Kluyveromyces lactis: one gene and its partners. The protein of the gene in region 1 binds, or shares a complex with, the protein of each later gene. Links are inferred from orthologs where the notes say so. Each region holds a gene or a part of one and is shown in the gene's direction. Other genes may lie near its edges. The genes, in order: MRPL13, MRPL32, MRPL40, MRPL49, MRPL17, MRPL50 and MRPL3.

The links.
Region 2: MRPL13 (region 1) and MRPL32 share a complex: the UniProt entries of both Saccharomyces cerevisiae proteins name them as parts of the mitochondrial large ribosomal subunit. The link is inferred for Kluyveromyces lactis from reciprocal best matches to the Saccharomyces cerevisiae genes MRPL13 and MRPL32.
Region 3: MRPL13 (region 1) and MRPL40 share a complex: the UniProt entries of both Saccharomyces cerevisiae proteins name them as parts of the mitochondrial large ribosomal subunit. The link is inferred for Kluyveromyces lactis from reciprocal best matches to the Saccharomyces cerevisiae genes MRPL13 and MRPL40.
Region 4: MRPL13 (region 1) and MRPL49 share a complex: the UniProt entries of both Saccharomyces cerevisiae proteins name them as parts of the mitochondrial large ribosomal subunit. The link is inferred for Kluyveromyces lactis from reciprocal best matches to the Saccharomyces cerevisiae genes MRPL13 and MRPL49.
Region 5: MRPL13 (region 1) and MRPL17 share a complex: the UniProt entries of both Saccharomyces cerevisiae proteins name them as parts of the mitochondrial large ribosomal subunit. The link is inferred for Kluyveromyces lactis from reciprocal best matches to the Saccharomyces cerevisiae genes MRPL13 and MRPL17.
Region 6: MRPL13 (region 1) and MRPL50 share a complex: the UniProt entries of both Saccharomyces cerevisiae proteins name them as parts of the mitochondrial large ribosomal subunit. The link is inferred for Kluyveromyces lactis from reciprocal best matches to the Saccharomyces cerevisiae genes MRPL13 and MRPL50.
Region 7: MRPL13 (region 1) and MRPL3 share a complex: the UniProt entries of both Saccharomyces cerevisiae proteins name them as parts of the mitochondrial large ribosomal subunit. The link is inferred for Kluyveromyces lactis from reciprocal best matches to the Saccharomyces cerevisiae genes MRPL13 and MRPL3.

Annotation. Positions count from the first base shown.
Region 1 is NC_006037.1:257,541-261,743, reverse strand, and holds MRPL13 (mitochondrial 54S ribosomal protein mL50 MRPL13), read left to right. Parts: upstream 1-2,478; coding exon 2,479-3,240; downstream 3,241-4,203. Other genes in the region: RSC4 (Rsc4p), read right to left, coding at 1-1,117; MEH1 (Meh1p), read right to left, coding at 1,448-1,879; KLLA0_A02893g (uncharacterized protein), read right to left, coding at 3,511-4,203. UniProt on the Saccharomyces cerevisiae protein: Component of the mitochondrial ribosome (mitoribosome), a dedicated translation machinery responsible for the synthesis of mitochondrial genome-encoded proteins, including at least some of the essential transmembrane subunits of the mitochondrial respiratory chain.
Region 2 is NC_006042.1:1,181,562-1,185,571, reverse strand, and holds MRPL32 (mitochondrial 54S ribosomal protein bL32m), read left to right. Parts: upstream 1-1,884; coding exon 1,885-2,442; downstream 2,443-4,010. Other genes in the region: septin CDC10, read right to left, coding at 328-1,341; KLLA0_F12804g (uncharacterized protein), read left to right, coding at 2,921-4,010. UniProt on the Saccharomyces cerevisiae protein: Component of the mitochondrial ribosome (mitoribosome), a dedicated translation machinery responsible for the synthesis of mitochondrial genome-encoded proteins, including at least some of the essential transmembrane subunits of the mitochondrial respiratory chain.
Region 3 is NC_006039.1:834,129-838,379, reverse strand, and holds MRPL40 (mitochondrial 54S ribosomal protein uL24m), read left to right. Parts: upstream 1-1,824; coding exon 1,825-2,715; downstream 2,716-4,251. Other genes in the region: NIP100 (Nip100p), read right to left, coding at 1-751; CDC31 (centrin), read left to right, coding at 1,020-1,523; HNT3 (DNA 5'-adenosine monophosphate hydrolase), read left to right, coding at 2,947-3,918; proteasome regulatory particle base subunit RPT4, read right to left, coding at 4,015-4,251. UniProt on the Saccharomyces cerevisiae protein: Component of the mitochondrial ribosome (mitoribosome), a dedicated translation machinery responsible for the synthesis of mitochondrial genome-encoded proteins, including at least some of the essential transmembrane subunits of the mitochondrial respiratory chain.
Region 4 is NC_006042.1:1,308,390-1,312,238, forward strand, and holds MRPL49 (mitochondrial 54S ribosomal protein bL21m), read left to right. Parts: upstream 1-1,931; coding exon 1,932-2,414; downstream 2,415-3,849. Other genes in the region: SAP185 (Sap185p), read left to right, coding at 1-603; enoyl-CoA hydratase PHS1, read left to right, coding at 969-1,613; mitogen-activated protein kinase kinase kinase BCK1, read left to right, coding at 2,732-3,849. UniProt on the Saccharomyces cerevisiae protein: Component of the mitochondrial ribosome (mitoribosome), a dedicated translation machinery responsible for the synthesis of mitochondrial genome-encoded proteins, including at least some of the essential transmembrane subunits of the mitochondrial respiratory chain.
Region 5 is NC_006039.1:256,383-260,427, reverse strand, and holds MRPL17 (mitochondrial 54S ribosomal protein mL46), read left to right. Parts: upstream 1-2,143; coding exon 2,144-2,935; downstream 2,936-4,045. Other genes in the region: Nrd1 complex RNA-binding subunit, read left to right, coding at 1-1,826; TEX1 (Tex1p), read right to left, coding at 3,143-4,045. UniProt on the Saccharomyces cerevisiae protein: Component of the mitochondrial ribosome (mitoribosome), a dedicated translation machinery responsible for the synthesis of mitochondrial genome-encoded proteins, including at least some of the essential transmembrane subunits of the mitochondrial respiratory chain.
Region 6 is NC_006039.1:790,483-794,415, forward strand, and holds MRPL50 (mitochondrial 54S ribosomal protein bL9m MRPL50), read left to right. Parts: upstream 1-2,596; coding exon 2,597-3,001; downstream 3,002-3,933. Other genes in the region: threonine synthase THR4, read right to left, coding at 1-334; RSC6 (Rsc6p), read right to left, coding at 662-2,047; KLLA0_C09086g (uncharacterized protein), read right to left, coding at 3,387-3,933. UniProt on the Saccharomyces cerevisiae protein: Component of the mitochondrial ribosome (mitoribosome), a dedicated translation machinery responsible for the synthesis of mitochondrial genome-encoded proteins, including at least some of the essential transmembrane subunits of the mitochondrial respiratory chain.
Region 7 is NC_006041.1:685,888-690,155, reverse strand, and holds MRPL3 (mitochondrial 54S ribosomal protein mL44), read left to right. Parts: upstream 1-1,766; coding exon 1,767-2,714; downstream 2,715-4,268. Other genes in the region: MSS1 (Mss1p), read right to left, coding at 1-1,422; KLLA0_E07613g (uncharacterized protein), read left to right, coding at 2,938-3,546; PEX12 (ubiquitin-protein ligase peroxin 12), read right to left, coding at 3,597-4,268. UniProt on the Saccharomyces cerevisiae protein: Component of the mitochondrial ribosome (mitoribosome), a dedicated translation machinery responsible for the synthesis of mitochondrial genome-encoded proteins, including at least some of the essential transmembrane subunits of the mitochondrial respiratory chain.

The DNA of each region.
Region 1 (4,203 bases):
GGTAATCTCTAGACATTGGGCCTCGATTATATCCATTTCCTAGTCCCTCTATATAATTGTATTCTTCGTTAGTTTCATCATCATCAGAAAGAATTGGTTCTTCCTCTTCTTCTTCTTGTACGAACTGTTTATATTCAATTTTGTCGTATTCCAGCGTGATTTCTCCTTTTTCTCTAGCAGTTTCTAATTCAGGGAAGAACCTTCTTTGGATCAATACACTAAAACATTTCATCAGCTTCAATGCATCGCTATATATTGTAGTATCTTCGTCATTGAAAACCAATGCGTTTTGAAACGTCAAATTAACATCGGTAATGAAATCGTAGATTTTGTGATAGTATCCAAGTTCTAAGTTATTTTTCACCAAGTTCAATGAGTTAGGTAAACGAATCACTTCTTCATATTCTGGATACTCATCTTTATCTACCAATTCAAGGAACGGTTGGCATATGTTTAAAGTGTCATCCAAGTTGTTGTTAGAAGCCGCTTCTAATTTTACGTCATCATCTTCTGCTAAGATTTCTGCCATCTGTTTATCTGTTACATTGAGTAAAGTGTCAAAGATTGCTATGAAACGTGTCTTCACATCATCGTTAACCAAGAAATTTCTTGTAGCATTTTTTACTTTCAACACTTCATTTTTGATGAAATATACCACTTGTTTCGCATTTTTAACAATAAGAGAATCTGGATCGTTATATGCAAGACAGTTCTTGTAGATCAGTTCACAATCCAATAAGAACTTGGTTTCCCCACCACTATATTCGTAATCCCTGCTTTTAATTTCGTTAATAGAGATCGGTTGATCAATTTTGTAATAGTACTGTGGATGAAACTTCCTACTGGGTAGTTTGATAAAGTGTTTGAATAAAGCCTTGTGAGCTTCAACTAAATTATCCAAAGTAAATGCGATGAACAAATTCAACTTAGGAATAGTCCAATCTAGATCTACAATGAGCTCTTCTGTAGGATCCAAAGGGTGCACATAATCCACTTTGGGTAGAGCGCCGCTTCTAGGACGTTTTCCTGGTGTATATCTTGGTACATAATTCTGTTTTGAATGCTTTTGTTCGGGTTCCTCACTGGGATCTTCTGATCTGCTTCTTTTCACAGCCATAGTATTTGGCGCTTTCCAGTTTGTTTATGCTTTTTTTTTTGCCTCCTCGCTTCCTTGGCTTCTTAAATGAACAAATTTCAGTATATATGCAGCAGTCAAGGCACTTACTCTAACCGTACCTAATTGGCTCCTTTGACAAACCAAAATCGTATACTGCGTATTGTTTTATATGTCTATTCTACAAAGTTTGTATATTTCAATGTTTTCAATAAAGAGAGTGAAAGTACCTTTACAAGATTGAGAAATGTTCAGACGTATATAGTGATATATCGCATTTCAACATTTGGTGAACCCATTTTGAGTGCGCTAATAGTGCAGAAACCTATTGCGTCACGATTCGATATTGGCGACCAATGGCTTGTTATATTCCACGGTAAGGTTTTTCACTAGGTTAGCGAAGTACTTTTTGTGAAATTCTTGAATCGCCTTCCTTGTGTCCTGTTTTATTTTCGAACTGGGAAGTACCGTTAAGGGTACGTCATGTAAAATTTCTCTTTGATCTTGCACATAGCTCGAACCTAAATCGTGTGAGGATGCTACGATACCGCTGTTGCTGATCATACCTATATCTATAAGCTTATCGTTCGTATTATTCACGATTTCGGTCAATTCAAGTTCTCTTGCAAGCACTCTTTCCTTCTGTCGTTGTTCCATTTCGTTATAATCTAATTGGGCTTGTGAGCCGTACCTGTCCTGTTCCTGCAATAACGGGTCATTTTCGTCGCTATCTTGACGAAAGCAGCAACTTAGCACATTTCCCATAATATTTTAAATGTTTTAGGCAGATTTTCGGTAGCTACTGATGCTAGAATTCGTTAGTAAACGTAAACTATCTCATTGCCTTGGTGGCTTTAAGGTAAAGGAACTACACTTACTATAGATGTTGATAAAAAGCACTGGGAAGCATAAATTTCATATTCTAGTATGTGGGTTGTGGGTGTTTTGAATAGGGTAACCCCGTCTTCTTTATCTATCGGGCTACATAGATAAGCAGCTTTTAGTTACTGAATACAGTGAACATCATGCAAACCAGGAAGTACGCACTTAACTCGACCCGTTGTTAAAGACCACTATGATGCAACTATCTATCGCTTCAGATCCTGTTTCTTTCTCTCTTTAGAACCTTCCCATATGGACTACATTCTTTCTATGCCCAATTGAAAAATTGAAAAATTTCATCTAAAAACTATAAACTTACAATTTGATGAAGATATTGTATATTAGAACATTAATTGAACGGTCAAGTTCTTGATGAGCTTAAGCACAGAAGTATCTTCTAGTGTTGTCTGATTTGGCGGTTGATATCAGTTCATTAAAGCGTGGTACTGTGCATATTTTTCAATCGAAAACAAAAAAGAATAATGATGCTAGCGTCTAGGTACGTGCCAGTAGTGCGTTCATCAAGACAATTCACTTCAAGTGCAGTGCGCTCTGATTTCTTGTCATGGTTCAGAAGAAATAAAAACAAAGATGCTGGTGTCGTTTCAACACAGCCAGAATTGCAAAGAGATACAAAAGAAGTTATAAATGAGATCGAGTCCGGGAAAACAACTGTAGTGAAGAGCTCAACGGTCACAAGATTAGAGTTAACAGATGATGATTTTGTTGGTATCGATTCATCTAGAAGAGAAGAACTTATTCGTTTACAAAAGTTGGATGTCGTCCCATTCAACGAGTGGTTATCTCAGGATAAATTAAGTACCGAACAACAGTTGGAACAGGTTGTTTTGGAAAGTTATCAGGAAACTTTCGGTGATGTCCCAACGGAAGAACAACTGGGGAAACCTTTCGAAAATTTGGTAAACAAGTTCAAATTCAGTAAACTGCTACAATGCAAATCAGGACACATTATCCCAGACTACGAACTTACAAGGTTACAAACTCCATTGGAATTTAAATCGTGGTTTGAGATTAAAGTACTAAGTGGTCAACTAGGGAAATTTAAGGAATCGGAACCAAACGCCATTGATTTATCGAATATCAAATTCCCACCAAACGTGTACGTGGTTCCCGATGTCAAACCATCTGTGAAAAAACAGAAGGTGAAGAAAATCTTGGAAGAGGTCGCCGCATTGGAAGCTCAATATGAAAGAGACGCTATTGAGAAAGCTAAAAGGGATTAAACTCCGAAAACAATCTCTCTTCTGGGTTGTTTATATTTACTATCGCATATCTTTTTTTCCAATGCATTTGAACTAGGCCAGTCGGCCGCTTTTCAGATCTTTGATTTGACTTTTCCTTCAATCTAAATCCTGTACATAATATAAATACTTATACATAATGTTACTATAACCATTAGTATGAGAGATCAATCACCAAAAAAAAATTATTGTATGTGAATATATATATACTTTTATATAAGGTTTGAAAAGAGCGTGGCATTGATTGTATACCTAGTGTTTTCTCGATAACGAAAATATCACGGCAATTGACGCACCGAGAGCAACAATTACTGCTGGAAGAAGGGTTTCATTGGGAATTCCAGGAATTAATTGGTTAGATGGTTTGGGATGAGAAGGCACATTTTTTTTGAACCTATTTTGGATTAATCTATTCACAGCATCTTGTGGTACAGTCTCATATCTATAATGAACCAATAAATCAATCTTATCTAGATTCATGTTTTTATGCACAAGCACACAGTCAATCAAATCTTGATCATGAGTGATGCTAACAAGATCATTTTCATCGTCCACATATAAAATTTCCACATCATCTGAACCTCCTAGTTTTTCACCAATCAGTTCAACTAGTTTTGAAACCCCCTCTATTGGCCTTAGGGATACTCTGTGGGTCTTGTTATTTGTTAAAGTTTTGAATTTGAACGAATGTAAACAAGTTCTTATATCTTCTTGAGAAGTAATGTGACTACTTCCCATCAAAGAGCTAGTCTCGCCGTTTACAAAAGACACTGAATCATTCAAATGCATTCCATTGTCAAGCTGGAATTGATTTAGCTCTGTTTGAGATATTTCTGGTGGACCATTGCTGAAAACACTTTCTGAGTGGACTGACGAAGAATCGTTCATCAAATCAAACCCGTTCCAGAATTTATTCCATGCGGGTCCGGGTGCAGCATTTTTACT
Region 2 (4,010 bases), on another chromosome or scaffold:
CGTCCAATTTCTTAGACTTTAATTACCAGTTGGTTATACGTGATGTAGTATTATAGTTAACTAATGGGGTTTATAAATCCTAAAAAGAGAATGTGATATATAAAAAAGAGATTAAGAGACGTTTGACAAGTAGAAATAGAGAGACATTACCAATTATCAATAAGATATATGGAAATGAAGCGACATTTTACTAGGGCAGGATTCAAACCAGTGAAGAACACAAAAAAAATAATTGGCACAGCTCTTGCGTACCGGTAAAACGCTACATTTTTTTGAAATAAAGACGCCGTTTCTTCTAGAAGTCTTCCCGGCTCTTTTTTCCACCTATTAACGCAGCATTGTTGTTGATGTCTGAGACATGTGTGCAGAAGTTCTAGCGTTGGCGTTCTCCTTCAAAGCAATCAATTGCTTGGATCTGAAACTTTCGTAGTGGATCAAAGCTGTAGTCTCAATCAAATCTTGCAAGTGTGTCCTGATCAAAAATTCTCTTAAATATACGAACTCACATTGGTTGATGTCTTCGACATTGATGGCACCCCAACGAGTTTTTCTTCCTCTTACTAGTTCACCGTTCACTGTAATCTCCTTTTCAGATCCTACAACGGCAAATGGAATAATAGATCTTATACTTTTATTCAGTTCCACTTCTTCATCGGTCAGATCGTCTAAATCATATGGATAGATTCTGAAATTGTACTTTTTAAATTCTTCTTGTAAGATGTTTCTGAAGTTAGCTCTCTCATTCAACGTCAAAGTATCAGCTTTAGCGATCACCGGGATAACATTAGCGATTTCTGTCAATCTCTTCAAAGCAGCAACGTCAAGTTCTGTTAGACCCTTACCGTTAGGTTGGATGAAATATAACACTGCATGTACTCGAGTGTCTACAATGTGTCTTTCACGTTGAGCAGTCAACTCTTTACGTAAATATTGAGAGTGTTGCTCCTTGATGTACTTGACAATAGGTTCCCAAACTTTGTCGTTATTTATCTGGTCACCAAAACCTGGAGTGTCAATCACGTTCACGTTCAAACGTACACGGTCTTCCAATAAAGAATGTGTTGAAACCTTGATCTCGGTGGTCTTACTAATTGGTTCCTGAGTGATGTCCTTACCAGTAGAAGAATCAACCAAGTGAGATGCAAACAAAGTGTTGATCAAAGTACTCTTACCCAGACCAGAATGTCCAACGACCATAACGTTGAATTGAAATCCTCTCTTCAACAAACGATGTTCAATCTGTGAAGTAATCGAATCAAACCCAACATAAGAAGATGGATTTACCAAAGCCAACCCATCAGAAGAAGAAGTCATACCAGCTGCAGCAGTACTAGATGCCATTGTTTTTGTTTATGCGTGTATTTTACCTTTAATAATTCCTTTCGCGTAGTAGAGATGTATATAAGTCAAATCCAAATGATCAAAGCTTTACGTGTTTTAGTGTTTGGAAGTTAAAATAATGAAAAACCTCTAAGTTATAAAAACAATTAACCGCAATAACAAAAATTCAAACAATGAGTAGCAATTAACCACAGAAACGTCAAAAAAAAGTAATCACAATCTTACTTATTCTAAAGAATACAAGATCTGATTCCTTACTTATATTTTGTTGACACACTTATTTCGTTTCGAGTTCCATTTTTAGTTTTTGTGATTTTTCGTCTTTTTCATCGAAATCGAAAAAGGGACACAGATCATCACCAAATCAGGGTAATGTTGAAAATTCTTTCTTATAATCCAATTCGTCAATACCAATTTGAATTGACGAAGTTCAAACAGAGTTAGACGAGCGACCTAGAGAAACTAGTATCTGTCCCTATCGATTGAACTTATCCTTTCTCCTCTTCATCATAGTATCATACCAGCAGCGAAAATAATTAGAGGATGTCTTTTGGAGCTGTAACGGAATCTTTTAGCAGAGTGTTGCTGGAAACAGCGACATCAATATTGCCTCGTTGGAGCACTCCAGCAGCTGGTACTGCATTGCCACAGAAACTGCTGGAATTGCTTGAAAGAAACCAACGTGAAAAGTCTTCACCTCAAGCGGATTACTTTACGAATAACGGGATCCTTCTAGCTGTGCCCAAGAAGAAAGTGTCGCATCAGAAGAAGAGACAAAAGTTATATGCGCCTGGAGACAAACAGCTGAAAATGATCAACCATTTGAACAAATGCCCTTCATGTGGGCATTACAAGAAGGCACATACGCTATGTATGCATTGTGTGGGTGAAATCCGTCACATCTGGAAGGCTCACACTAACGTTGAACAAGTGGAGCCTATTCAAGAACAAGAGTTGTCTGAATTGGACAAGCGTATCTTGTATCCTGGTAGAAAAGAAACTGAATACACAAAGAAACTGAAGGACAAGGATGCTTATTTGGAGAGACGTATGAAAACTCTGCCAGTGGAGAGATCTGAGAAGAAAGAAGGATCACATTAAACCCTCTTCTCATTGAATCCAGTACAAAATAACACATCGGCGGAAATGACTAAAAAAAAACAACCTTTTATCAAGTTCAATCCCCCCATCACCTTGTATATATATGTCGAATACACGTCCCAGATTTTAGCAGGTTATTTCAGTGTCAGCATTCACCTCCTGTAGTAATAGTTAGATTCATTATCTCATCACAATCAACTCTACATAGAATCAAATCACATACAAAAATTTTCCTAGAGCAGGCTTGATGCCAGGCCTAAAGGCGTGAAAATCAGTCGAGAAAAGATCAGATTGAAAAGAAAAAAATCATGAGTGAAAAGATTTGAAGTAGCGATGAGATGAGATGAGGTGCGAATACACGATACAGGATTAAGCAGGACCTGAAAACTGGCATCAGTTTAACAGTTTGGTCTGATATTGGTTGTTTTGTTTTGTTTCACTTTAAATTGACAATAAGGCTGACAATTTTCCATACAGTATGACAACGACACGACAGTTCAAGAAAGTGAAAAAGGTGCCAAATTACAGGATTCCTGTATTTACCAGCATCCCAACGCATCCGTTAGGGGTAAAACCTAGCGGGAATTCTTTATTAGAGGGTGCAGATCCTCAGGAAACTAGAAAGCTTAGGAAAAAGCTGTTAGGCTCTCTGTCAGTGCTACCAGAAGATCTTATAATCGAAATACTCGCATATATCGATGATCCAAATGACTTGCAGAACCTCGGATGTAGTTCTAGGATCCTTTACGCGTACACCTACGATGAGGAACTATGGAGAAAGATTTATACCAAGGAGTACTTGAAGTTGGAATCGGAAAGTCCAGAGCAAGAGCGTATTTCGCCGTTTGGATGTTCAAGGTGGAGGGGCTCGTGGAGAAAGACCATCTTGAAAGTAGACCAAGAAGCATTGATACAGTGTCATAATATTCTGTTCTCTGACACCTTATATAGACCATATCAATGTTCTCAGATCGATTATACAGAGCTTTTCAAAAAAGTGATTGAATTCGAAACGAGTTCGTATGAGTTAGGTACATGTCTGAACACAGAGTTTGGAGTACCTAGAATGCAAGAGACAGAATTTGATGTGGCAACTTTCCATGAAGAGTTTATCAATAAGCCTTTCATTCTTCAAAACAAAGATGGTATTACCTCGGAGGGGAAACCAAGATGGCCAAGATGGACGTTGGACGATTTAGTCGAGAGATATCCCCATGAAATATTCCGCCAAGAAGCAGTGAAATGGGACCTCTCATTATATTCCTACTATTTCAGAGAAAATAGAGATGAGTCGCCTTTGTACCTTTTCGATTGTAATAGCACTGCCTTAAAGCTGATGAGTAAAGAGTATGCTCCACCTTCCATCTACCATAACGATTTCTTCAAATTGTTCCAAGAAAAAGGAATCAAATGTCGACCTGATCACAGATGGCTAATTGCCGGTCCAGCAAGAAGCGGATCCACTTTCCATAAGGATCCGAATCACACTTCTGCATGGAATACAGGCTTGAGCGGCATGAAACTATGGGTAATGTTACCACCTGGAGAAAACCCACCCGGTGTGATGA
Region 3 (4,251 bases), on another chromosome or scaffold:
GCAAATATGTCTCTGCCTGGGTTTGCAGTTCTTCATTACTATTTTTCAAACCGTTGCATTGTTTCTGTATTTCTGTTAGGTCTGATTGCAGCTTTTGTAGTGCAACCGTTAATAATCTGTTTTGCTTGATAAGGGCATCTGATTCTACTGATTCTATCTGATCAGTGTTGACATCAACGTCTGCTTTTCTTCTTATTAAAATTTCTTCTTTATAATCATTAAGCTCCTTCAAAGCACTTTCATGAGCAATGGTCAAGCTTTCTAATTCAAATATCAGTGAATCATTGCGTTGCTCTGCCTCATCTCGTCCTAAAGTTAATTTCTCCAATTGTTCCTCGAGAAATTGCACTTTTTCAAGCTCTTTTGATCTCAATCCCAGCTCCTTTTCAAACGAAATACATTTGTCATTAACTGACTTGAGTTTAACTTCCAATCTTCCAATGATCTTTTTCAATCGTTCGGGATCTGATGAGTTAGAATTCGTAGTATCAGGATCCTGAAATTGTTGCGAGTTCGGTGCAGAATTTTTATAGATACCCTCTCTTCTACTGAATATACCATACATCCGACCTTTTCTACCCTCACTGAGTTCAAAGTACCTGACTCCCTTGACGCTACCATCGTTCTTCCCTAAGGGTTCATCTAACTCAACACCGATCCAAATCCCCGCTGCAAACTGCGTCTCGCCTATAAACCGTACAGTTCCTGCCAGGCTGCGTAGCACTACCCTATCTCCTAATTCCAGATCCATTGTTTCATTTTAGAACTAAAGAGTAGTTGATCTGGCAGTACTGTAAGGTATTCATCAGTTATTGCCTTCATTTCTTTCAGGATATGTGTTTATGTTCCTTAAACTCAATATTGTCAAAATAATCATAAACATGAAATCTTTAAACATATTTTAAAGAAGTTTCACGAAGTTTACGCGTGCAGCAAAAGAGGTAAATTAAGAGGTTCGATTGACTTACAGCCAAGACTCACAACGGCAAGAAATCTAACCCAATTCGGATCATAGAAACATGAATAACAGAAGGCCCAGTGGACGAGTAGCGAAATCCGTGGATAAATCCACTTTACAAAAGGAATTATTAGAAGAACAGAAACAAGAAATATACGAGGCGTTCTCACTCTTTGATATGAACAATGATGGATATCTCGACTATCATGAATTCAAAGTCGCTCTAAGGGCATTGGGTTTTGAACTCAGTAAAGGAGACATATTAGAACTTATCGATAGGTATGATGCAGACGGACGCCGGTTAATACAATACGAGGATTTTTACCTGGTAGTAGGAGAAAAAATATTGCAAAGAGACCCATTGGATGAAATTAAACGTGCCTTCAGGCTATTCGACGATGATAACACGGGCAAGATCTCATTGAAGAATTTGAAACGTGTAGCTCACGAACTAGGTGAAAACCTTACAGACGAAGAACTACGTGCCATGATTGATGAGTTTGATCTTGACGATGACGGAGAGATCAATGAAGAAGAGTTCATTGCTATATGCACTGACAATTAGTGCTTCACGACCATTTCCATTGCCACAGCTGGAGCCCTGTGCCGCATGTATATCTCACCTTGTATATCCTATGTAACATCAAGCTATAATACTAAATCAAATGCGAAGAATCTGATAGTCTAATTCGGATCACGTGCTTTCATTTTTCCCTTCCAAAAAAATTTGTCGATGAAAAACTTGAAGGAACGGAATCAAGAAAGACATATGTATCAATATGGTACTATGGAATGAACCACAAATGGTTTATGTTCTGTGAAAAGGACGGTGGTATTCGATACTAGAATAAAATAGATCAGCGGGTATGTCTTCATATAAACATTTATCGAAGGCTGGTGCCCGTTTTTTGGAGCAAGTTCAAGCGAAGAACTCTAATATTGCGAAACAATTTGCCAAGTATGAAGGTTTGACGATGCCAGAGTTCTTGAAACCATCGTTGCCTCGTGTCGAAGAATCCGAGAAGTATAAGAGTGTAAAGCAATGGAAATATATGCCAGGTGATAGAGTGGTGATAGTAAATGGAAAGTTTAAGGGCAATGTTTGTGCCATTACGCAGCACGACGTGCATACAAACGGGTATATTTTGGATGAGAATGGACCCACCAACACTGTTCCTGTGCCCAAGCAATTTTGGCAACAGGGGCAGAACAGTCATATGGTGAGTTTCCCTGTCCCCGTGAGCCAAGCGGACATCAAACTAGTCGCTGATCTCGATGATCCAGAGACTCCAGGTGTGGCTAAGACTGTTGCTGTTCGTGACATCGAATTCAAGGGTTCGTATTATGATTCAGATTACAAGAAAATTATGCCATATAGGGTTGTTGTTGGTGAGAACAATATGGTTGTTCCATGGCCTAAGCCGGAGTTCAAGCCAGATGGTGCATTGGCTACGCGTTCTGAAATTGCACGTCAACAAACTTTCTGGGTTGAAAGCGTAGTAAAAAATCCTGTTCCAGAAGCAGCATTGTCAACCATCCGTAACCCTAAGTCGAAATACAGAAGAGGTACCTTGACAACGAAGGAAATATCAAGATTGGTGGCTCCAAAAATGCCTCTAACGGAAGCAAAGAAAAGATACATCGAACAAAGAAAAGAATTGGCAGCATTGCCAAAACGTAAATTGACTGATGAAGATCAAGAATTGATTGGTGACAAGGTCTACCAACACTTCAAGAAATCTTTCGAATTACAATAAGAATAAATAATAGTTTTGGCTAGCACTTAACTGCCATTCGTATCCACGCTACTTGTACATAGATCATAATATCATACTTCATCGCACTTTTATCTGACTTTTTTTTTTACTACATGTTTATTTTGAATGGAAATCTATACGTAAAGGTCATTACTTGTAGTAACAGACCTCAACAATTTATGATTATAGTAATGACTAAATGATTAGATAACTGTTACTAGTTCATAACAAATGGATGAGTGCGGTCCAATATATGTTATAGAATGGAAGGAAAGTCCAGGCGATCAATGGACTATCTCAGATAAATCGGGGTTTACGACTCATTTATTCAAATTAAATGAAGACGCCAACAAAGATATTGTGTACTGTAAACATTGCCGAAAGCAGTTCATCGGCAAGAACAGAGATTTAATTGGTTTCCATATGAACAAAATCCATCCACAAATCACAACTGGAATGACTTATAATCAGTATCTGCAGATTTTCAAACCCACTTATGTACCAAACGCCCATGGTGACGAGAAAAACAGGGAGAACTCGTTCAGCATAGGTCTCAGACCGTACGTTTTGTGTCCAGAACGATTGCCTGAAGTACTCTACTTTGACGACATAGCGACCATTATACATGATAAGTTCCCTAAATCTGAAGAACATTTTTTAGTTTTGCCAAGAAGTCATAAGATCAGCAATTCTCATCCCACCACAATCGACAATGGCATCAAGGTGCAGCTTCAATGGCATATTGATTGGGCTAAACGATTCTGTTGGACTCAATTCATAAAAAAATATGACATAAAAGATATATCCTTGAAAGAGAAAGAAGCTTTCTTGGCGAATTTTGTCCAATCAGGAGTACATAGCACTCCATCAATGGCTAATACACATATACATGTCATGACAAGAGATTTCCATAGTAAGAAATTAAAGCACAAAAAGCATTTCAACTCTTTCAACTCCCCGTTCTTTATACCATGGGATGAACTACCTGTGTTGGACTTGCCTGGTGACAAGGAGCTATCCGAAAGGTATATCAAGAACTTTGAGATGATATGCCCCTATTGTTCCACTAACTTCAAGAATCGGTTTGCAAAGCTTAAGGAGCATCTAGCAGATGAGTTTAATATGCGTTTCGTGTCAAAAAAAGGTTTAATAACTGCAGATAGGGCTATTTCATCGTTTAATAGATTTACTAATGATTCATAATTACGGCAACAATTTTAGCGCTTATACTATAGTGGTTGGTTTTTAATCTTAAAATTATGAATCTACTTGAGATGCCTAAACAAGTGTGTATATTCATTACAACTTTTGATATTCAAGCTTGCCTTCGAGCTTCTTGACTTCGGCAACCTTTCTCACGGCTTTCATTAGATCTTCCTGGTTTATATAATCGCGGTCGTCCCTGATAGCGAAGAACCCTGCTTCAGTTATACAGTTACGGATATCCGCACCGTTAAATCCATCACTCATCTTGACTGCAGCTTCAAAGTCAAATTCTCCAGCTTTTTTTACATTGGATGTATGAATCTTGAAGAT
Region 4 (3,849 bases), on another chromosome or scaffold:
ATCCAAGTACGACTAGACAACAACGATGAGCATGACTCGTCGTACGGTGGAGATTTGAATAAGTTTAGCAACTACATGTCAAATCAGATTAAATCCGGCTTAAACATGGCTGACAATGCCGAGGAAGAAGACGAAGGAGACGAAGAGGAAGATATTTGGAATGGTGAATCATCCAACACATTCCAACCGCAAGTCCCCAATAAAACCTTCTTCAACAGCTCCATGTTCCATTCCCACCAATTTGATCTGTCACCTGACGATGAAGAAGATTATTTAGATCCTAACGACGATGGGCAATCTTATGCAAAACCAAACCATCCTTTATACTCCAGCATGTTATCACCGGGTGGTATGCCCTACGATGCACCAGACGAAGAACTCAACGATCTTGATGTAAACGACGATGATGAGGACGACGACGAAGATGATTTCGATGCTGATACTGATGTTGGAACACATAGCGGCATTTCTCATCGTTCGAATGAATACTCCCTGCGTCGTACTTCCAGTAATGATAAGATCCCTTACGATCTCGCTGAGCAGAGTAGTAGAGCAATGGGAATGCCTGCTTTGCAAAGATCAAGCTCACATGATACAGATTAACAATGCAGCCTTATCCCCAAACACGAATCCTTATCAACACAAATTGATATATAATAAACATTTACTTTTCCTCTGTTTATCGTTAGTTCAAGTAGTAATAATATTAATAATAGTAATAGTAATAATAACATACGAGTAACACTAATTCAAATCTTAATTCTCATGTCATCAATACATACTGCAATTTGTTAATTTGGGTATTGTTGGATTTCTCTTCCTTTTCGTCTCAATGCATCACTTAATTTTATGAATCTGAAACCATGAATTCTTGTTATTGACAAAAACTGGTCTGTTTAGAACCGAACTGGATCTTAATAAATTGAACCCCGAAGTCCAAAGAGCCCACCAATACACTTTCACACCCAATGGCATCATCTAAGGCTTCTATCTTCTCCTTCCTTCCTCTTTACAACCTACTTTCTGCTTCTGCCTGGGCTTATGTCCTATATCAAGTCGTGACCCTTTACCCAAAGATCGGTCAACCAAGTTTCTTTATTGCTACCAAGGATTTAGTCACGTACGTTCAATGCGGTGCTATAATTGAAGTCACAAATTCTTTGTTTGGAATAGTCCGTGCTCCGCTAGTGACCACTGCTGCTCAAGTGGCCTCTCGACTCTTGGTAGTCATCGGTATCTTCCAGTATGTGCCGGAAGCAGAAAATGCGCATAAAATATATTACATCACGTTGTTGTCGGCATGGTGTATTGCTGAAATAGTGAGGTACATGTTCTACTTCTTCAACTTGGTGGCTCAAGCGCCTACTGTACTTGTTGTATTGAGATATAACATGTTTTACGTGCTATATCCATTGGGCGTCGGCAGCGAATTGTTCATAATTTATTCTGCATTGCCGTTGGCTGAAGCAAAATACAATATCTTGTACAAGTATTTCTTAATTGCAGGTATGCTAGCCTACATTCCAGGGTTCCCGGTGCTATTCTCACACATGGTTGCCCAAAGAAGGAAGGTCATGAGATCCTTGAACGGTGATAAACGCAAATCTGCATGAATTGTCACAGGATTAAAAGAATAGTTTGACTCATGTATAAAAGTTCTGTAACATTTGTAACATACCCGAATGAATGCACAAATGAAACGACGCTGTCCCTTGGCGTGGCCGTTGGCTCTTCCTTCTCATGACTGTGTGTGTGCCCTACTTTTCACGTCACGTCACGTGACTGACATCAACACTTAACTCTCGAAGGCTCAAAAAATTTTCTGTTGAAACAGTATACGACTAGTTGAACAACATTTAAGACAAGTGAGAAGAAGCAGATTGAAAGGGCTATTGCATCTGCCAATTGTCGTTCGAATCAGTGCAGAAACGATGTTCAAGAATATCAGTCATATGTTTGCCCTCCCAGTAAGGCAAATGGTGGGTTTCAGCCCATTTCTTCAACCTTTGAAGAGAAGTTTCATCAGAACAACACACTCGGTAGCAGAAAAAGCGAAGGTGAATTTAACGCCGTTGAAGTTATCCAATGAGCTATATGCCGTATTCAGAATACACAACAGACCATACTTGGTGACAGAAGGAGATAAGGTTATCTTACCGTTTAAACTGAAGCAAGCAGAGGTCGGCGATGTGCTAAATTTGACTGATGTGACTACCATTGGTTCTCGTAACTTCAAGCTCGTGGACGAACCTATTGATCCATCTCTATACACTATTAAGGCTACAGTTCTTGAGAAGACAAAACGCCCGCTTAGAGTGAGAGAAGTTACCAAGAGAAGAAACAGGAAAGTGCGTCATGCGGTCAATAAAGCCGATTTGACTATTCTGAGAATATCCGAGCTAAAAGTCAATTAATGAACTAACCCTCCTACAAAATCGTGTAAATAAAAGTTTAATATAATGTTAGGTCGTTATAGATCGATTAGAAATACTATACCATCTAGTAACTATGTTTTAGTGGCAGCATCTCATCGAATTTGTTAGAAACGTTTACCGTTTTAGAGAATAGATATAAATTCAAATAGAAACAATTGTAATTAATACCATTTTAATCGTTAATAAAGAGGGGAGAAAGACGATAAGAGAAGAGCTTAGTGCAACAATTACTGGGTATCGATACTTTAGTATCTGATAAGTAAAGTCCCGCTAAATATAGATGAACCGTGGATGATATGTCTTTCTTGAAGAAGAAGAGTAGCACTGCTGGACATTCAAGGTCAGGATCTGCCTCATCTATACTCAACAAACATGTTGATCCTGCCAATATCAGTGAGTTTTATCCATCGTCATTGGATCACAAGGTGACCAGTGGTTTGAAGAACGATTATAGTTTTGATTCCAGCAGCAAGGGATCCAGGAAGTCCTCTGGTGGGAGCACCAATTCGTTAACATCTGAGCGACTATTATTCAATTGGGATGTCACTGATCCGAGCCAGTGGACGATGCCCAGGATAATACAGTGGTTCAGAGCTAACGATTTCAACGATCAGTGGATTACATTTTTCAAGAGGAATAGTATAAGCGGGAATAAGTTCTTGAAACTTCTAGCTTACGATAATTTTGCACCATACGAGAAGTCCTTACAACAGTCCAAGAGTTCAAGTTACGAAAGGTTTCAGTACTTATTGAAGAAAACGCTGGAAGAAAACGTGGTGAAGGGAAACAACAGGAATGGTAATCGGATTATCAATAATTCAAGGTCGTCGAGTGAGTCTGCTAAGGTCAGCCAAAGGTTATCGACATCTTTTTCTACCCATATAAGAAGTACATCAGAATCGGCGCTGTTGAATATTGAGAATATTACGAAAGACAGTTCTTCTAGTGAACCTACCACATCAAAAAAGCAAGAAGCAAGCAATTACAGTTTACCCTTGAGGCAGGCAAAGACCAATAGCGCAAGTGCATTATATAGACGAAGCTTGATCAGCTTACGAAATGCATCATCTACGAAGGATAACGCATCTAAGAATGATATCAAGATAACTATACCCCCAAGACCTCTATCTACGACAGAAAATACTAATAAATCACCGACAACACCATCATCTGTTAGTCCCTCTCATACAGCTTATACCGGTATTTTCAGGCGACAACATAAGACCAGTTCTTCGGAATCCTCCCTGTTTACTTCGATTTTTGGACATGGTGTGGTTGAAGAGCCTGAGGAAACTCCTAAACCCAGACCAGTTGAAAATAGAAGGATTCCTGCCGCATCTACAGTAAATGCATCTACTTCGAAACAGTCGATTAACGTAGATGATAAGGCTAGGTTGTGGGATAAAATTAAGCG
Region 5 (4,045 bases), on another chromosome or scaffold:
CCTTCAAAGAGTTGAAATCTGGGATTTCTGGTTCTCGTATCAGAAAATTAACAGACTATGCTGTCAATCACGGAAGGAACATCGAAGCATTGTTGTCGTTTGTGATACAGTACTCCAAAGAGTGTCCTCCGACTCACAAATTGGGCTCCTTGTATATCGTTGATTCTATTGTTAGAGCATTAATGAGTAAGTCAGAAACTGTAAAACAAGAAGAAGGCGAAGAAGGGAATTATTTTTTGAAAGGTGTAGAACTATTAAACGATAATATACAACCCTTACTAATTGATGGTATTGAAAGAAGTGATCCAGCCCATCTAGAAAAAATTCAGGAGTTAATAAATATTTGGGATAAAAACAACGTTTTTAACAACAAACCTTTGAATGCAGCAAGGAGTCGTTTGAGTGAACTTGTAAATAGCAACTCGATCCCTCCATCTTCGTCATCTAATTCGTCTTTAACCCCACGCCCAGCTCCCAGTAATGATAATAAGTCCTCCTCAGGTAGTAAAATTGATCAAGTCTTGAACGCTATACCGAAATTCGAAAACCTTCCTGGCATACAAGTCCCGTCTGGTTTATTTTCAGAGGACATATCGGTACAGGACTCTTGTTTGAAAGAACTTCTAGGAAAGTTGCAAGTTGAACTGACAAAGAACCAAAAATTGGTTCAAGTAAACAAACAGGCTCCTCGCTCGATAGATAATTCTACCTCTTCTACCTCTTCATCGTCAAGGTCTACTCGCTCAACGCAGTACGTTGGAAGAGACTCCAGAAATGACAGATCTAGATCACCCCCAAGAAACAAAAATGACAGATCTCGAGCACAGGCAACAACTTCTCTGCATTTATCTAGGCAACAGCAGCAACAACAACAACAACAACAACAACAACAGCAGCAGTCAATTAATGGTCAACAAGGAAATAACCATCATTTGTACCCAGATGAGCAGAATGTTCCCTCAAACCCTCATTTTAGGCCAAAACCGGTATCCTTTGATCCAACTGTGCCAAGGGACCACGTAAAAGTATATTCCAGAACCCTTTTCGTTGGTGGTGTCCCACAAAATTTCAAAGAACATGATATTGCAAGAATGTTAAGACAATTCGGTGAGGTTCAGAGTGTTATTTTGAATAATGCCCGTAAGCACGCCTTTGTGAAAGTCTATTCAAGAGCAGAAGCGGAGAGGATCATGGCGCATTTCACTGGTGGTGGCAATCCGACACATGGTTTGAGAATCCGTTGGGCCGTTGGTTTCGGTCCTAGAGACTGTTGTGACTATCAATATGGATATTCAATCATCCCATTGGCCAGGCTAACCGAAATTGACTTCAAATGGTCACAGTCCGCGGAATGGGGTGGTACTGGTGGTCAACCAATCCAAACAAACATGGTTTATGAGGAGCCCGATATTATTGTTGGTGAAGGTGTTTCATCAAAAGCGATTTCGCAAAAGATGCCAACTGATAAAGGTGTTTTGGGTCCCAAGTCTGGTAAAGTTGGTCAAGCTACTGCTGTCTCTCAAACACCTATCCCCTACAGTAATATATCTCCTCCTCCTCCTCCGGTTCAAACATCACAAATACCGAACGTTCCTCAAATCCAACAACAGTATTATAACCAGCCATTGTATCAGCAGCCTCCATCAATGGTATATGGTCAAAATCAACTGCTGGGATCGGCATCATCTGCGCAGCAGCAGCAGCAGCAGCAATCGCATCAGTCTACTCAACCTTCGGGCCAAAAATCTCCTCAACCCCCACAAAATTTCGATCCAACTGCGCAATTAAACACATTGATGAATATTTTGAACCAAACGCCAAAATAATGCTTATATAAATGCACTTAAATAATTTTCTGTATCTGATAGCCTTTATGCATATGCAATTCACTCACTACTTTGTTCTATTAGTGACACCACTTGGAAAGTTATCAAATCCGTATATCGTGATCGATTATTTCATATTGAAAAATTTTGGAATAGTAGGCATGAGAGGATGTTCAAACAATTTGAAAAATTATTGGAACATCAGCATCATGTTGAAATAGTGCCGCTTATCAGAATTGGGAAGCATATTCACCAGCTGTCAATCATCGTGTATATTCAGTCAGCAACCCTCTTCATCGACACAATTATAAATAAAAATGTCTGTGAAAGCAGCAGCAAGCTCGATTCCCAAGGCAGTAAAGGCAGGTTTGGTACTTTCTCGTGTTCCAATCGTCACTCCAGAATTGAATGCACTAGAGAACAAGTACTACCAATACCAGGCAGAACTGGAAAGAAGACTAATGTGGACATTTCCATCTTATTTCTATTTCAAAAAAGGTACTTTGGCAGAGCGTCGTTTCCAGTCTGTACAGAAAGGTGTGATTAGCAAGCAGCCTGGTGTATGGTTCCCTAAAGGAGTGCCAGACGTCAGACATAACAGAGAAAGAAGTCAAAAGCAAGATATTATGCTACCAAGAGAGGCTTCAGAAGGTTCAAACAAGTCTGATGTCTCAAGGCCAATTGTTCCTAATTCCAGAACTACAAAGGCAGACGAAAATAACGATATTACTAGTTTAGACAGAAAATTGGACAGAACTCTGCATTTGCTTGTGAAGGATGACAAGGGAAGCTGGGTTCTTCCAAGTTTCCCGGTTGATATTGAAGCTAAGGAAGGAAAGAAAGCTTTACATGAGACCGCTGAAGTGGGATTAAGAAAAATCGGCGGAGAAGATATTAATACATGGACTGTGTCGAATACTCCAGCAGGTGTTCTACAATCTGAAAAAGATCTCCAGTTTTTGATCAAATCGCATATCATAGCAGGTGAATTCAAGTTAAAGGATGAAAAGTCAATCAAAGAATTTGCATGGTTGACAAAAGATGAAATCAAGAAAGCTGTTGACGAGAGATATTTCAATAGTATACAATATGTTCTTGCTGAGAATTAACATATTATCATCAAACACAGAAAGTATTGGCATGATTTAATCACTATATATATATGTAAACCCTCCTGTAAATACTGCTTCGGATAGAAATTCCAACCCGTATCGAACACTAAAAGATAACAATCATATACATATTGCTGAACTCTGATTGATTTTAAGATTGGAACATTATATACTTGTAAGAATGCTAATTAACTTTTAAATCTATCACCATCTATCATTTGGCTTTCTAAAAGAAGACCCTGTGTTGGAGCGACCAAACGACTTCTCACTGAATTTATCAGCATCTCTCTTGTATGGTTGTTTGCGCAGCTCTTTATCCCTCTTCCCGCGCTGTGGTGTGTCTCTTTGAGTTCTACTGCTCCGATCGGTGCTTTTCTTAACAAAATCATTTCGTTTACGATCATCGGTCGATACCATAGTTTTCGGTCTGCCTGAACGTAAATCAACCATTGTCATTTTATCAAGAGCACCAGTGGTGTAAAATATTAAGCACGACTTTGACCACTTGATTGTGGAACGTGATGAATTTTTAACCACCGTGTTGTATAGGATAGACAAATCATTGTACCAATAGAGACTTAAAAATGAATCGTGAGAGTCTAATGCTTTGCTCAAAATAGATATTATTGACCCATCAAAAGAAATGTCAATTCCAGTTATTCTATTATCTGTCTTGATTGATTTTTTCAAGGGCACAAGATCAGGTAACGAATAGATAGAACATTCGTTATGAGTTCCGACTAACAATGCTCTGCCTAATGGATCCATTATTAGTGACGTGATGGTTTTCATATCATTCCGCCTTTCACAGAGAAACTTTAATCCATCATCTTGGAGTGAAAATAGTTTTATGAATCCTGATTTATATGCAACGATAATTTGTTTGGAATCATTAGACCAGCAAAGGGAATGTATGGCATCATCCGATTTCTCATCAGGGGAAAAAGAGATACAAGATTCGTAACCAGATTCTGCATTGTAAATGTAGATTTCATTCGTCTTCGTCGCTACAACTAGGTACTTTCCAGAAGGATCATATTCCGTTATGAAGTTCTTCGCTTTAAAGTTTGTCTTAAACTCTTTCAACACACTCAACTTATCATCCAC
Region 6 (3,933 bases), on another chromosome or scaffold:
GCTCTAGGACATGAAGATTTTCATTAGAGCCAGTGACATTCTTGGCTAACGGGGTAACATCATGAGAACGGAAAGTAGAGTAAGATCTAGTAATCAAATCCTTTAAGTCGGCTTCTGGAATTTCATCTGAAGAAACATAAAGTTTCATGATTTCAAAAGCTAAATCCTGGAAGGACAACTTAGACCATTTATCAAACAACTCTGATTTAGAGACTTGAGGAATAATGGATGGGATAAACAAACCACCATCCGAAGCTAAACCTTGAATAATAGCTTCCTCAAAAGTTTTGGTAGCAGGATCGGATGACCTCGTAGATCTATAGCTTTGTGACATTTTGATTTGGTCTTAGATTGGATATCTTACCTTATTGGAGCCTCTGCCTGATCTAATCAACAACTAACAAGTGTTATTCTCAACTATAAACTTCAACAGTTTGCTTCGTGGTAAGTTGATGAAAGCAGAGGTTTACAGATGACTCAATACAATTTTCAATATTTTCTGAACGATTTTAATCATTTTAGACGATTTCATAGTACAAATGTTTTCTATACGGTTGTTGAATACACGAAGTATGGGCCCGCTCTGCGAAGAACTACCAAGGTATACGTTGTATACGGTATACATATATTTATGATGAAAGCGATAAAATACTGAATGAAATTATTTCATTCTTCCGCTTGAAAGTAGAACTCCAATGTTTTCAAAAAGAATTGAATCGTTGTCCTGGTAGAATTGTGATCTTCTCACTGTATCTTCATTGAAGCCAGCATCCCCTGATAACACTTTGAGAGCCTGCGATGACGATTCCATGTAATCTTGTAGCATTGGAACTGGATCCTTAGCTAGTTTATCAAAAAATTGGTATTTCTTTGCGCTTGAATTTAGTTGTAGTTGTAATAGTTGTGTTTTCTGATTTAGTTCTTGTATTTGTGGTTCGATTGCAGTTGATAGCGTATTGTATTCATTCAATAGCAATAATTCATCCTTTGACAACTTTTGGTCGCCTTTAACTGACGTTGATTTAGGTACTTCCATGTCAAATACCAAATCTCCGAAAGTGGAAGACTGATCTACACGAATAGTATAGTCAAGTCTTATTGGAGGTATCGGTTTTACATGATCTTTCACTAGACTTGGCAAATCGGCGAGCTTCAAAGAAACAATGCCTGCGGCAAGCCTTTCTGGAGACACTAGCTTTGCTAATGAAGCATCCATTTTCACTAAGACTTTCTCACCGTTTGTGGAATCCTTTGGTCCCGCCTCGTCGTTATTCGTCAATAGACTGTTTAATAGAATATATTTGTAAAGAGAGTATATCGCCTCATGAAAGGTTCCTTTTGAGAATCCGACAATACATGATAGTTCTGGTGAATACTGTAAGAACTCCCCTGTATACCCTTTTGGTTGGATAGTGATGGTACAGTTAACGTTTTCAGTACCCTTACGTGAAACATCAACACCGTCAAACTCTACAGGAGTATTAGGATCCACATGCCATTCAAAAACGGTTTGCTCATTTTTTGGCTTTTTAGCACTAGGTTCCTGTGTCCCTTCTAATAAGGGGTCTCCCATTTCTTGATCAGTTTCATCATCTTGATCTTCCTCTACAGGTTTGAAATCTATCGCGACGCTTTCTATAAAGGAGGAAAATTTAGGCCTATTTGGATCGTCTGCCTTCCCATTATCTAACAGTCTACCTTCAATACGCAATGTCCATGATGCTTGATCAAGTTCCATGGTCTCATCGTTCGTCTGCCATGGCTGGTTCTCAGAAATATTAGAAATGAAAACACGAACAAACTGATTATTCGCAGGATCTGTGTATTTGGAATGAGTCCATTGAGTAATATTCTGATGCAAATCAATTTTTTTACGACTTAAATATATGTCAATTCTCTTCTCAGCCTCTTGTAACTTACTTAGCCCATCCAATTCTGGTATTAATTTCTTCAAATACGGTTGGATATACATGTCAGTTGGTTGTGCAACTGGCACAGTTTGTGCCTGTTGATGTTCAACCGTTGCTCCACTCTGTGCCGCAGACATTTGATTTTGATTTTTCTTTAATCTCAATCTAGCGGTAGCTTAGTTTATTCTACTAGGAGGTAAGCAGATGATATGTCTCATCTATACAAGTTGATGCATGTAAGTTAATGTACCAAAAGCTAGTGAATGCTTTGTTTAGGTTGATTGAATAATTCGAAAAACTGATGTTGAAACAACGAAAGCACCCATACACCCATACACCCATACAATACTTTATAGCGAATCGTATTAGGTTAGATTGTATCCATTACGCAGTTCATTTATAAATAAGTATTTCAAAGGTTACAAACACGGAGTAGTACAGTATGAACGGCTGTCACTCGCTAAACCAATCTTTTATCTTCTTTTTATGTACACATCTTTTAACTAGGCTGGCACTTAGATATGATTTTAAAGCTTCAAAAATTTTTGATAGTTTAAAATCACATTAGAACAAGATCAATCTAAAAGTTAACCATAAGCAGGGAATTAAAAATAGCGTCAATTGTGTTTGAAGTGCTATTCCAATAACTGCACACGCTCCAAGGGCTTTTAAAATATTACAGCAAAATGTTCAGACCGACATCATCGTGTCTTTCTGCCTTAACCAAACGTACAAAGAGAGTACAGGTACAGTTATTAAAAGATTTTCCTCAGTTCCAATTTCATACCGGCGAGGTGGTAAATGTCAAGCCCTCACTAATGAGAAACTTCTTGCACAACTATAATGGAGCCCGCTACATTCTAAAGGAAACTGATATTGACCAAGCCCTGTTGACCTCAGCTAAGAGATCACGTGCATCAGCAGCAGCTTTATTAAAAACAACCGAATCAACGGTGAAGAAGACTGAACAGAACGTAAAGAAGGCTAAGCAGGTATCCAAGGAAGAAAATAAGACACCAGAAACTCCTAAGTCAGCATTAAACGAAGAAATAACTATCGAGAATGTGAAGATTCCAGGATTAGACTTATGATAGTAAATGTTTTATCTTTTTTTTCCTCCTTACGCGGATCATTTGAGATACCAATGTCTTACAAAATAATAATGATCATGGATGTTGTTCGTGACGTCTCGTCCCCATTGCGGTTCAGAGGCACATTCATACACTTGTACATAAATTACATTAAAATAACTTGCGAAAACAATAAAGAAAGTTCGTTGCATCCAATCGCTACCAGTTGAAGTAATAACGTGGACAGTAGATCTGGATGATTCATACTAAATGGGGATTGACAAGAGAGTTATTACTACAGGAACGCTCATCACCTGGACGAGCATATTTCTCTTGATCAGCTTTAACTGTTGCTTTGGAAATAAAGAGACGAGAATGAGAAACAACCCCAATAGTGATGAACTTTCTAAATTCTCATTTTCTGTTTGTTTCTCAGACGTCTTTCTCTCTTTTCTCTTTTCTTCAACTCCATTTTATCAAGTTCTTGGTCGGTCAACTTGTCTCTCATATCCTTTCTCTTTTGTCTCTCAGCTTCTTGTTTTTTTTCAAGAGCCATTTCTCTTTCAACCTGTTGCATGACTTTAACAATCTTGCCTAACTCTTCTTTACGCAATTGAATACCCTTCTTCAAAATATCAGTGGTGATGAAAGAATTGGATGAGTTAGTTTGAATATCCTTAGTAACATTGTCATAAATTTCGACAACTTTGGTTATCAATTCCTCCAACAATTCGATATCTTTGTCAGAAGTTACCAAGGATAAGTAGATGACACAACGTGGCAATTGAGAAGACTCCCATAATTTGTCAGTAATCGGTTTCTCTTCTGGTAAATCAGTGAAAGAAATAAACTTCAAGAACTTGGCAGATTTAGATAGCAACACCTTGAAATCTTCACCGGCATAGTGAGGAATAAATCCGTTCAACTTATTTGATTCGGACATGAAAACATAG
Region 7 (4,268 bases), on another chromosome or scaffold:
ATCGGAAGCTATTCTAAGTGATTCGCAAGCTATTAATATATCGTCATTCTTGTGCTGGAAGAACTGATCTAGGCCGAATAGAATATCAGTGCTTAAAATTTCTTTGACTCTATTGGACACGGTGACTGGATCTTCATTCTCAGTTGCCGAGATTCTTCTGAAACTTAATGTCAAGGTCTTAACTAATGGTTCCAATCCAATTTTGGTTAAGCAAGAGACTGTATGAATTTTCAGGGCTTTAAATTCTGCATCGAACTTTTCAATTAAGTATTTTAACTGGGTTTCAGTAGCTAAATCCGATTTATTCAACACGACAATTAAAGGTTTATCAGATAAGTTATCCTTGATAAATTCTTCAAAATGTTTACTTATATTTGGGTTAGATACATCAATGACCAATACCACTAAGTCACTTTGTAAACTTTTCTTTTTGGATCTGTCAATACCTTTGATCTCAATAGAATCTGAAGTTCCCTGTCTGATCCCTGCCGTGTCAGTCAAGATACATTTAAAACCGTTAATGTCCATCATTACATCGATAGAGTCTCTTGTGGTGCCCGGTATATCACTGACAATCGCAACGTCGTCTTGAGATATTTCGTTAACTAATGATGACTTCCCGGAATTTGGTTCACCCAACAATGTTAACTTTATCCCATCGTTCAAGACAGCCATTCTATCTAATTTCACCATGAATCGAGTCACTTTTTTGTATAGTTGTAAAAGTTTATCATTGGCACCATTCACTATAGAATCGATATCTTCCGTTTCGATATCTTCACCAAAATCAATAATTGCAGTTAGTTTAGCGATCTGCTCTATAATCTCTTGTCGCCATTCATGGAAAATGTCTACGGTCTGATTGCCATGCAATGCAGACAATCGCTGTAATTCTGTATCTGAATGAATCATATTGTTGATACTTTCAAGCTTCAACAAATCCATTTTCCCATTCTGGAAAGCTCGTCGACTGAATTCTCCCGGCATCGCCATACGAATATCTCTTTCAGAGTCCCGCAAACCCTGGATTGAGTTTAACGCTGCCTTTATAATAGCTTTCCCCCCATGTAGATGCAATTCCACTAAATCTTCACCTGTAAAGGTCCGTGGTTGTGGGAAGTACAAGACTAACGCTTCATCTATCAGAGTTGATGCCTTGGGATCATATAATGACCGAATCATCGGTTTCCTCTGCCGTAGCGGTTTTTTTGGCGACAATTTTTTTAAGATATACTTTGAATGTGTACCCGATATCCTAATTATAGCTATTGCAGAGTGCTGATTTGATGGCGTTGATAATGCATACACTGTAGGATGGAAAAATGTCGCTGGAACACTATAAAACCGTCGCAACATTGGGCTGAACATCACTTTTTGCGAAAAATTGAACCAAATGAGAGTGGGATCCTTGTAGACTACCATTACGATTCCAACTGCAATTTATGGTAGTTTAGAATAGTCTGTAAATATGTTTAGCTACCGATTCATCGACAATCCATAGCATAAGTGCGCCGTATCAGAAAGAATCTGGAATAATGAGATGTCTGTGAAAACATATTATTATCACGTGACTACTCGGAAAACATCAACAGTCTACTATATCCGGGTAATTGCAGATCTCAGTATCGAAATATTGAAAAAAAATTTTAGTGAAAGAGTTACAGAGAGAGGATGGAAAGAAGTTGAGTGATGCAGTGAGCTATTGGTGAGGTTTGCCATTGATATATACAGCAATCAACATCACCATCGAGGGGGGTTAAAGAAGGATGTCTGTTTTGAAGCTATTGAACCCTGTGCGAGTGCGAGGATTTGCTTCTTGTGCCAGGTTGTACCAATCAGAACTGTCATCATTGAAAGAATATAAGAATACCATCAGTACACTGTTAAAGAACCCTGCACATGAACTAACAAGCCCCAATTTAGTTGCACTCCATTCCAGATTAAGATTGCCTCAAGGCTTATCCTATTCTCTTTTGTCCAGATGTTTGACGTGTCGTTCTAGTGGGGAAGTGAACTATGACAATGTCAGTTTGAACATTTTTGGTAAGAGTCTTTTAACTTTGGCAGTTACATCCGAGCTAATGAAAAAATATCCTAGGCTACCGGGTGTGGTTTTGAATGCTGCTGTGGATGCATATATTAACGACCATGTTTTGAGCAATGTCGGTCGTTCCTGGGGTATAGAACCGGAAACTCAAAGTGTAGTGGATAGATATGCAAAGAAAGAAAATGTTACCATTACATTGGGTAAACTACGTTATTTCCAAAATTCCGTAGATGAATTGCATAACTTCACTGAGAACAATGCTATGGCAGTTGCCGTAAGGAGTATATTCGCCGCTGTATACAGTGTCGACAAAGATTTCAACCAGACACATAAGTTTATCGCAGATCATATTTTGTCCAGAAAGCTGGACGTTAAAGATTTGTTCGCGTTCGAACAACCAACCAGAGAACTGGCAGCTTTGTGCCGTCGCCAAGGATTGGAAAGACCGGTATCGAAACTACTTGCAGAAAACGGTAGATTGTCTAAATCACCCTTGTTCATCGTTGGCGTTTTCAGTGGTGAAGAGAAATTAGGCGAGGGTTACGGTTCATCTTTGAAAGAAGCTAAAGCCAGAGCCGCTACAGACGCTTTGTTGAAATGGTACTGTTACGAACCAGTGCATGGCCAACAGAATGTCGTTATTGACCAAGGCGAAGTGTTAGTATAGACAGGCCGCATCAGCAATGTATGTTTTCCACATAATCCTTTTCAGTTGAGATCAACTTTTAAAGATTTCTTTCCCTGTAAATATAATATACAAATACATAATAGTAATTCATACACTGTTGTACTCGAACGAAATAAAAAAGGAGGTTGTACGAAACTTAGTTGTGTCTTGAGGCCTTGCCTTATTTATAGCTAGATCCTGTTCTGCATTATTTGATCAAGATATGGATTTGAAGGAGGAAGTTCTGCTGCAAGTTAATTCGACGATCATTGAAAGTAAAGGAGGTCCGTTACTATTTATCCTTGTATTGGAAAATGAAATAGCATCACAGTGTTTTCTGTGTGATGGAGTTGGAAACGTTGATACGAAGCTCAGCCTTTTCAGCTGGAAATCCTCTGATCCAATTGGAATCCTAATGGTTGACCCGGACATTTACGATTACGATGACATGTTACAGTCGTTGAATTCGAAACAATACATTATTAAATCCAAGTTCCATTACTTCCCTGAAACTAGCAATTTGATACAATGGCATGAGAGTGTACGATATCCTTATAAGCTAATCAACTGTGGAGTAGAAATTCAGGATGATCATTCCGATTTAAAACTATTAAAACGTGATTTAAAAGATCATTTGGATAGGATGATTCAATATCTTGAAGATAATGATAGACCAAGCGATGAAATCTTGAAAGAAATTTGGTTATTAAAGCTAAGATACAGTAGAACATCGGCTCCAGACTTAGATTCAGAAATCTCTAGGCTGGAATCTGATATAATGATGATGCAAACGATGTTCAATCAAATGGAAACCAATGCAGAATTATTCTAATGCTACTGGCTCAATTATTCTCATTATTCATTTACTAAATTAATGCAAAACTATATTAATAACTTACGGATGCGTTTATCTATGGGCACACCAGTCGCGAAACATGTATTTTCTGTGCTTACCCATTTCTTGGCACACTCTAAATTAGCGACATATCCAGATGAAATCATGGCAGGTTCTGTTATTTCTTCGCCGCATAGGGGACATACGTCAGTCGTATCATTGTTATCCACCTCTGATGCTACGCCAGGTAGTACTGGAGGTTTTGGTCTCTTTACTCGTATCTCTTTCTTGAATAATTCAGGCCGCTGATTGATAATTTGTAAAATTCTGATCATCACTAGGAAGCTCGGGAATAACTTGTCCAAGAACATGGTCGATGTGCTCTCCACTGCATCCTTGGTCATAGCTAATATTCTGGGTAAATTAGTTCTTTTACGACGACGTTCAGAAAGAGTTAAAGTATTTTTCCTACTTGCAATTCCTTCTTCGGGTTCTTGGTATCGTTGGTATCTTATTTGTGTTATGAAATGGATCATATCAGTGTCTTTTGAATGACGCAAGTACTTTAATTTGAAACAGAAATTTATCACTTTGATAGTCTTCTGTAGCTTAGGATAATAGGCATCAAACCATTGTTGCCATGAGCTCAATTCTGGGCTCGTCAATTTTCTGGACTGCAAGAGCTCATGGTATTGTTCACAGATATCACTAACGTATTC